Arabidopsis thaliana: one gene and its partner. The protein of the gene in region 2 interacts with the protein of the main gene of each other region in a pairwise test. Each region holds a gene or a part of one and is shown on either strand. Other genes may lie near its edges. The genes, in order: FOLK and AT4G34920.

Region 1 (5,078 bases), on a different chromosome or scaffold from region 2:
GCAACTAACATGAGACACAAGGTCGCTTCTCTCTTGAGGAAATTTCCGGGAAAGTCACGGAGTCGGTTATGGGAGCCACACGAAAAGGATTTTCTTCAAATTACGAAAACGACGTCGCACGTAAGATCCAAAAAGACCCAATCCAACGCCCCATATGTAGAGAGCAATCACTAACGAACGTCCCAGTCTCACTTTCTACACCAACCTTTATACAAAAATCCATCTACTAAATTATCCCAAAGAAATATATTTAAACTCTTCTTTTCTTCTGTGGTGACATATTGTTTTCATTTGATACATATTCTCCCAAGTCAAATTTATATTTCAGAGAGGAAAAAGAAACAGACACAAATCCCTCCAAGATGATGCATGACAGTATGAAGTAGGTATGAGCAAAGGAGTTGAGATTTGAGAATATTTGAGATTACCTCTCTAATGGTAACTTCTACGGTGGAGGCCTCGAGTCCTGAAGATGGCGAACGACTTACTTTCACTAGAGACAGACACTACGCCATGCATGGTGAGATCTTGACGGTAGTTCTTGTCATCAGCTTCGCCGTCTTCCTCTTGTTCCTCGTGTTGCTTCCTTGTCTGAAACGCCGTTACAGTCACCAGTCCGACCTGTCAGAAGAGGCTTCCTGGAGCGGGACACTCAAGCCCTCACCTGTTGTAAGCAAACAATCCATTTCCACATAGCCATAGGCCAAATAACAAACAAACATGTATTGAATATCTGTTACAAAAGAGTATCTGTTACAAATTGTAGAAGCGTCACTGTTCGTCATCATATGTCTCACTAATGGATAGAACATTACAACATTGTACCCAACTGCAATTGCAGCTGAAAAATAAGATTTGTGGACAACAACAATATGAGATGTTTCACTAATACGTACATACAGAAGAAGATGGGAACAATGAATGCAGTTTTACCTCCATATCAGCAATCAAGCTCGACCCTTTATTTGATGATACATAACAACGAGAGGGTATTATTAGAAGAGTAAGAATCCGGCCAAGGCAGAGGTTAAGGAAATGGTGAGATTGTCGTCAATGTCGGTGCTTATTGGGAGTGATTCCACAAGAGCTGATGCTATAGAGATGACGAGGAAACGAAGAATCATTCCCCCGCTATCCTCGATGTAACCAAATGAAGCAAAGTAGTACATATACGCAACAGATGCTAGAAACCCGGCGGTGGCCATTCCAATGCTACCAGCAAATGATTTGTTTTTGTTGTAAGGAAGCTTCTCTGTTCCAAACCGCCGACCCACAATGTCAGCCATACCTTTTAACAGCAAGTGTGTGTATTAGAATCATCATTCAATGGATTCAAATTCCTAAGACAAAAGTTGCTAATGTTATTGGATCAAACCAGAGCTAACTGTACTTACCATCTCCTGCGCAAAGGTTGCATATCACCGCAATCGCGATTGGGGATGATTTCCAATAGTAGATGCAGGCTGATGTGATTGACAGTACATAGTAAAGCGGCCCCTTAAGTAGTTCCCTGATGCAGAGAGCGACTACAGACACTTTGTGAAGTGACAAAAGCAATAATAAACAGACAAACCGAATTTTGATCATAGATACCAAGAATGCTAAGAGATTGTTGGATATTGTGACAGACACTTGTTCGATTCAGCTACCTGCGATCTCCATGTCTGCTCATTGACTTGATTGTTCCTTCGTCGTGGTACACTCCAAGCCCCAGCAATAGCATCCTTACTATATTGAGTCCAGGTACAAGAGATGCGAAAAGTGCTCCTTGGATTCCAGAACTGAAACAATTGATATCGAAATAAACTGGTGAAGCAGAAAAGCAAGCTGGTACATCAAAATCGATCCTTTCACTCCGTATTATTACCTGAACAGCGGCCAGCAAAGCATAAAAACTAGCCCAATATTTATATGCACAAGCTTCCGGATGAGTTTCTGAAAAATAAGAAATAACACCAATGTCAACCACAGATGTTAAACCAATGCCTCATTCAATAAAACCATGAAAGTGGAGTCAGTCCTACATCAGACAGCCTGTGGATCTTATAAATTCAATGGGTTCTGAGATGATATCTTAATCACGATAAGGTCAGAGAAACAAAATCAAGTAGCTGAAGCCATACAGGTATTCCCAAACCAAAAATGTTTAATAGAATTTTTGCTAATCATAGATAATTCCTCTACTCCTAACCAAATTACTTGAAGAAAAACAAGTCACTGCGGAGAAACACATAAGAGAAAGGAAAAAAAAACAAGCCATGTCCAATATGTGTATAGACTGACTCATACGAAGAAATAATCCTTCAAAGTATAGCAAAGAAATTGTGCAACATTTAAACCTACAAAATTCATATATATCATAAATATGGTTGAATCTTCAAGTTACGATGAGATTGTGATTATACCGCACGAATTTCAAAAAAATTTCATCCCCAAATTGGGTTCTGAGCAATTTTCCCACTAATTTACCAGATATGGGGTTACTTTCCCATTGTTTATCGCAGTGTTCTTCCACCCCAAAATAGGTATCCATTCACATTCTATAATTTCTTGAACTAATAAGATTTATTATCCTCGCCATTAATGCCATCCATTACTCGATAAAGCTTACTACTACCATTACTCTGAATCCAAAGTTGCTTTAACCAGAAATTGCAGAATCGAGCAACATTCCAAAAACGTTATTCAACAAATCGACGCGTGTATAATTTAATTAAGTGAATTGAATGATCGAAAACCTGGTCGAAGATGCCACGTTTGCCAATCTCTCCCCAGAAACCGAGGCACGAGAACGCAACGATGCTAGTGACTCCAAACGCGCAGACATCTGATAAAACCGAATTTTCCGGAAACATCACGGCGGCGAGTGAAGACTTGCGGATTTTGGTGGCCGGAAACCTAGAGCTCGATCTAAAGCTAGTCGCGATTCGGACAGTGAGGAATCGTGGAATCGGAGAGAAGAAGGCGAGAGAAGGAGGAGAGTCAACGAGAGGAGATGAAATGAAAGAGCAGCAGAGAACGGAGAGCTTTGTAGTAGTACTAGTAGTTGCCATTTTCTGCAACACTAGAAAACACGACCTTTTCTTCGATTACGTTTTCATTTATTTTTTTTGACAGTAACTGGTTGGTAGTTGTTGTTGCTCAAGCACACAAAATTTGGTTTGTTTTATTGTTTACCAAAAAGATGGTGAAAAGTGGATATTTATTTCCCCAAAAGGAGTGTTTTACTTTATCTGGTCACATATGGATTAAAGCAATTTTAGTTTCGTTCTATTTGGATTCGGCTAGAATGGTTCATGACATGGTGGTGTTCGTTTGAGGAAACGCATAATTTGTTATTGTGGGCCTAGTTTGGGCTTTATATTCGCTAAATAATTTGGGCTGGTATAAGTCAACTAGACGGACCACAATTTGATTTCATCAAATAATTTTTCATGATTAATAAATCCCTAATTTAGTTACGAAACACAATTCAATTATTGTGCTACTCAGATTCGAGAAACATAAAAAAAAAAAAAAAAAAAGTGATTCAGATTCCCTCACATGGGTTGCCGAGACACATGACCACACGTCTCTTGCCTTGTTTAATCTTTTATCAATTTTGCATCAACTTGTATATACCATAAGAAAATTATTTTAATTGATTTCAATGTGAGATTTTCTTTAGTATTTTTTGCATCAAATAATGCCAACCTAATCCTCAATTATCCATCTTTATTTTTTTTCTGAAACAATCTTATATTATTTATCTGTTGGCAAAAGAAAAAAAATCCTCAATTATTTCGCAAATGGTATATATGTTTATCTTTAAAGAGTACACTTGCATGTGTTTTCCAGGTGTGCGGGCAAAAGAACATCAGAATTGGTTCTGGATATAGTTCTCTCCACTTTTTATTTGTTATTGTTTTAATACAGTACGTTTTATGAGAGTTTTTTATATATATAATAAATTATGCGTTTCCTGATAGTTGTTGGTCCAATATCGAGAACAAAAAAAACTAACTACAAGCTAAAAACCTAAAACTATGAAGATCTCAGAAAATATAAATATACACGCTCACGTTAGCGAGTAAAAAAGTAGACACCAGATTAACAAATGATTAGTGTGATCACAGTAAAGAAATGTTTTGCAAAATTTTAAGCAATTTTTTGAAATCATGTTGTATGTAATAAATTGAGTAAATTCATGCTGTACATAAATTAAAGACCATTTCTTTGTTAGTCATTGAAATCATAACCAATCAACCAATAAAACTGAATTTTTTTCGTTCATTAGAGAGATAAGTTAATATCTTCAAAGTTTAATGTTAAGCTCAATTGTTTAGATAGGAGATAACCGATAAGAAACCACATAACTAGTTAACCTACCTATCTTGGCATCACATGAATCAATGACGTTGGATAGTCAGAGAGGCTTATTTTAATTATACCCGAAACGAACCAACCATCTATAATTCTCTAAACTATATTTAATCATCATATAACTCTGTAATAAACCCAAATTTTCACAAATTAAAAGCCATACCAATATCTTCAAATATGGAAAAAAATAACAATTTAACAAAGAAACAAAATATTTCCTCACCAAAAAAACAGAAACAAAATATTGTTTTAAAAAAGGAAAGTGGTCTTTACACAAAAAGGAAAGAGAAAGGAAAGTGGTCTGGTTCGTATCGCACCCAATAAGAACCACCAACTGTTGAAGTTCGTAAACTGTTCCACAAAAAAATGCATAAAAGAAAGAAAAACAGATATGAGATTCGACCATTTTTTTTCCATATAAATGTTTTTTGGGTTTGCAAAAATCGACGCCATTACTCTTTTTTCTCCCCAAATTATTGACCTTTTTATAAAAATAATTTATATTCTCAATCACACTTCATCGTCTTCTTCTTCCTCTCTCTCTCTCTCTCCTTTTTGTCTCTGCACTGTGTGTTGTCACCGGAGACAGAGCTTGTGTTTTCAACTCTCTCTCTCTCTCTCTCTCTCTCTCTCTCTCTCTCTCTCTCTCTCTCTTGCTCTCTCCGTCTCCCTCACTCTCTCTTTACTTCAAAATCAAACCCTTTTCTCAGATTTCT
Region 2 (4,124 bases):
TCTTTAGGTTCTTTCTGGTTAAATTCTCAACTTAACGAAGTTGGCCACCACTCCGTCACTAAGACTTTTCCTTTCTAAACCATATATAAGATATCAAGTTGTTGTTCTTTATTATTATATATGAAGTTGTTGACAAGCTATATACATGCGATGTGTTTATTTACAACTATTTCATACGATAATCCAATATTCGATAAAATATTTGTCAGAATGTTCTTAGACACCCTTCTCTTTATTTTAACTTTTTTTCTTCCTAATTATAAGTTTACTTTTGTATAAATATTTAATCAGGCTTTGAAATAAGTCAATAACTAATCAACAAGATAAACAAAATTTAATTATTCCGACGCTCCAAAATAAGACTATAGTTGAAAAATCCGAAAAGAGAAAGATGGTCAGGTTTTAGGCAGGGTCTGTGAATGATTTGTGGTCCAAAATCCAAATCTATTTGAGTGAGCTTAGAAAAGCTGCTCCAAAACATATATATGAGTAATCTTTCTTGAAGAGGTCATTAGATGGCGGATGCGTTTTGGATATTGAGACGCTAATCTTGCCGAAAAGGGTTTCGAAATTTCACTAGGATATGTAACTTGGTACAAGAATCTGAGCAAAATAAAGCAACTGAATAAATTCCCCTGCCTTCTCTTTATCTCTCTGTTTGATTCTTCAAACAGGACGGATAACGAAAAACAGATATAATGTACAATCATAGAAAACTTAAATTACACACTTTAATACATAGCATAACTTAAGATACACGCAACCCAAAAGCAAATAATCTTGGTTCCAATGCTTGAGATCAACCATCGATCGTTCCAGAGTTCTATCAAACCTTTCCTTCGATTCTTGCGTGAGTAAGGCCGACACAGGCATCAACGAAATCTCCTTCGATGAAATCAGTGGACAAAATCTGCAACTTATCTCCACATCCCTTGGAAACACACTGAGAAATAAATAGTCTGGCGTGTTTTCGGATCCGATCAGTCACCGGTTTAACCCACACAACCGGATTATCTGCTTGCGGCGTGACCGTGTTCTCAACCCGGTAAAAGAATTTTCTAGAAGATGTCGGCTGCTGCTCACTCAGATGCTTCAAATTGCTCTGAAATTTCGTCCATGGAAGATCCGTATCGATCCAATTATCTTTTAGATAATCTGAGTTCCAGAGAATTCCACCACGGCTCGGCTTTGGAGACTCTCTAGGTTTCCAGATGCATATAACCCTTTTCGGCAAAATCTCTGATACCGGCTTGTTGAACAAGCTATCATCTTGATGTATCAAGAATTGACCTAACTTGTCTGCCAAGTAAGTCTCGAACCCCGGAGGATCTTTGTGTCCAAACTCAGTCCTTATCTCCAGGATTACAATCTCCGAGTGAGTCTCCGACAAGAATCTGATAACGTCATCAATGACAACATCAATTTCGTATGACGTCAGAATCCCGTGGCAGATTTGGCGATCCTCTTGCACACGGATATCGAGGACACGTGTCCCGAGGACGAGCTGCTCGTAGATAGAGAGCGATTGGCATTCAGCTAAAGGACGAGAGATCAGAGGTATTCCGATATCGTTGGTGGCTGAATCATGCGTTCCTGGCCACACGATCTTGTTTAGAGTTAGTTTCTCCAACGTAAGACCAGCCATCCAGTTTTTCCGATCGGACGGACGGTAGTCATCGCCAGGGAATTGTGAACCGTCAGATTTTTCGAGATTGGTTAGGGTTTTTTCCTCATTAGACACATCTTTTTGCCGGTCGATCTGGTTAGAGAAAAAAGAGAGCATGTCTTGAGAGATTGATGATGAAGAAGAAGAAGAAGATAAGGTTTCTCTTGTGGTTGAGTTTACGACTTGTACTTTGTAGGGTTCACTTATAAATCTGAGAGAGATATCGTGCAGTGTTTGTCTTTTAAGTGTAAAACGTTAAATCAAAGACAATTATTTGTTGTGGGATTGGTTGGAGTTTGACCTCTTTATTCAAATTGATTGGCTATCTAATTAAAAGTTGCCAACAACTATTTAAGAGAACTAATTAGGTCATGATAAACATGAATTGTTAATAAAACGAATATGCGATGTGGTTTATATCAAAATCCAACTTGGTCTATATAATATTAATCAATTTCAAATAGTATATATTTTAGTATTTGAAGTTAGCTTTTCAAAAGTTAAAATTTTTAAAAATATTTTGTAGAATTTATTTAGTCTTAGCTTTGGCATTAATATAAGAAATCAACTCAACAGAAAGTGTTATTCTCAAGTGTATAATTTATGTTGGAAAATGATATATATAGACCACGATGTACAAGTAAAACAACTAATTTTCAATCGGTAAATTTTATCCAATTTGGTATACTTAATTGATTATACACAATCAGTTAGATGACACATGTGGCATAAATACTCGGAACAAAAAACGTGCAAGCATATAATGTGCCAATTCATTTCGAAAATATCTAAATGGGTCCAAAACCATGTGGATTTGAGTATTTTGAACCCTGCAGATATCGTCTTCATAAGCTTACAAAAATCTATTTCAATAAAAACCTCAAAAGGCTAATAATATGCTCACAAAACTTTGTCTCCTGATGCTACATGAATAGAGCTACAAAGATTGATGCTCTCGTCTCCGTTCTTTTGTGTGATTGACTATAACGAGTCAAAATTTGGTTACACTTACGCTAAACGAAATAACTTAAACTGTCTTCTGTTTTTTGGTCGAGCTAGAATCTTTGCCATCCTTCTGGCCAACGGCTCCTCTCTTAGACCCCTGGTTGATTGAAGTAAGCAAACAACATAGAAAAAATTAGCACAAATATACACACAAAACAGAGAAGAAATGGAGAAATTCAGTTGTGTTTTACATTAGGGTTGAAGGTTTTGAGTGGGTCGCTGCCTTTTCTAGACCGTTTCTTGTTTTTGTTGTTGCGACCACCGCCTCCACCAGATCTCCTAGTGTTGCCCATTGCGGCTCTAGCTAGCTTTACCATCTTGCTTGCTTCTTGAGTCTTTGCGTCCACTAGATACTCGGGGATGTCCTTTAGATGTGGTGCAGGTGCAGTCTTACTCAGAGGCTTGTCATGTCTCAACAGATCTAAGTCTCTTGGATTAGCTTCAAAATGAGCTTTTAACCTGAAGAAAGAAGTAGAGAAATTAAGAAGATGAAAAAAATAAGAGAATTCACATCACACACGTAGTTATGTTCTTGCTTACTTTTCAGAGTTGATTATCTCATTCCTCAAATCCTGAGCTCGAGACTCTCGAACCGCAATCTTTGTAACACTCTTTGCCACATCCTGCAAACAAATTGCAACTTTTAATACTGTTCACTTAATGAAAGAAGTAATCATCTTACTACAGAGATTACTCACCTCAGCTCTATATCTAAGAGACTCGACAGCATTTTCGGTCAACAAAGGAAAGGGTGTGATAATATCAATATCCTTGTTCTTGTCGCTTGCTAAGAAGGACTTTATATCTTCAAACCCTTCCATCTCATCAGGAGAAATCTGTGCCAAATAAAGCAGAGCATTAGACTTGCAAAATTTAAAGAGATCATGCCAAACAACAGTATTATTAGACGAGAAACTCACAAGAGAAACGGAAGATCCGCTGCTATATGCTCTCCCTGTACGCCCAATTCGATGGATATATCCAGTAACACTTTGAGGCATATCAAAGTTTATAACCTGTGCATAAAAAAGGTTTAAGGGAAGGTTAAGAGTATAGAGCAAAGAAAAGAAGGATTCTTACAATATCCCAAGCAGCAAAGAGTACAAAAACAAAGAAAAGAAAACCCCCTTAGCAAAAGTCAAGTAGCATACCGTGTGAACTTTTTTGAAATCAATTCCCCTAACTACACCGAACTCAGCATCTAGCTTTGGTTTGCTACGCTTATTATTTTTCTTGTTCTCCTTGTTAGCCTCACCTTTAGCCTCTTCCTTTTGTTTTTTAGTCTGGCTATTATCATCCGTTGCAATCAAGTAATCGAAAAGTCCTGCATTGAATTGCTGTATACAAAAAAATATACACTGATTAATTATGAAACGCAGCTGCTTCCGGAAAAACTAAATCTAGGTGCATGACTTGGTGATGTACCTCAAGGATATGAAGTCGAGAATTCTGA

Evidence for each region.
Region 1: the proteins of AT4G34920 (region 2) and FOLK interact in a protein complementation assay, tested with the Arabidopsis thaliana proteins (one large-scale study listed by BioGRID).

The regions. Positions count from the first base shown.
Region 1 is NC_003076.8:23,668,488-23,673,565, reverse strand, and holds FOLK (Phosphatidate cytidylyltransferase family protein), read right to left. Parts: upstream 3,300-5,078; 5' UTR 3,054-3,299; coding exon 2,739-3,053; intron 1,936-2,738; coding exon 1,868-1,935; intron 1,782-1,867; coding exon 1,650-1,781; intron 1,511-1,649; coding exon 1,395-1,510; intron 1,289-1,394; coding exon 996-1,288; 3' UTR 697-995; downstream 1-696. Other genes in the region: AT5G58570 (uncharacterized protein), read left to right, coding at 436-696. UniProt on the Arabidopsis thaliana protein: Kinase involved in negative regulation of abscisic acid (ABA) signaling. Substrate preference is farnesol > geraniol > geranylgeraniol, but has no activity with farnesyl phosphate. Can use CTP > ATP > GTP = UTP as phosphoryl donor.
Region 2 is NC_003075.7:16,633,404-16,637,527, reverse strand, and holds AT4G34920 (PLC-like phosphodiesterases superfamily protein), read right to left. Parts: upstream 2,025-4,124; 5' UTR 1,784-2,024; coding exon 827-1,783; 3' UTR 545-826; downstream 1-544. Other genes in the region: AT4G34910 (P-loop containing nucleoside triphosphate hydrolases superfamily protein), read right to left, coding at 2,694-2,768, 2,863-3,130, 3,212-3,294, 3,370-3,507, 3,592-3,687, 3,823-4,008, 4,097-4,124.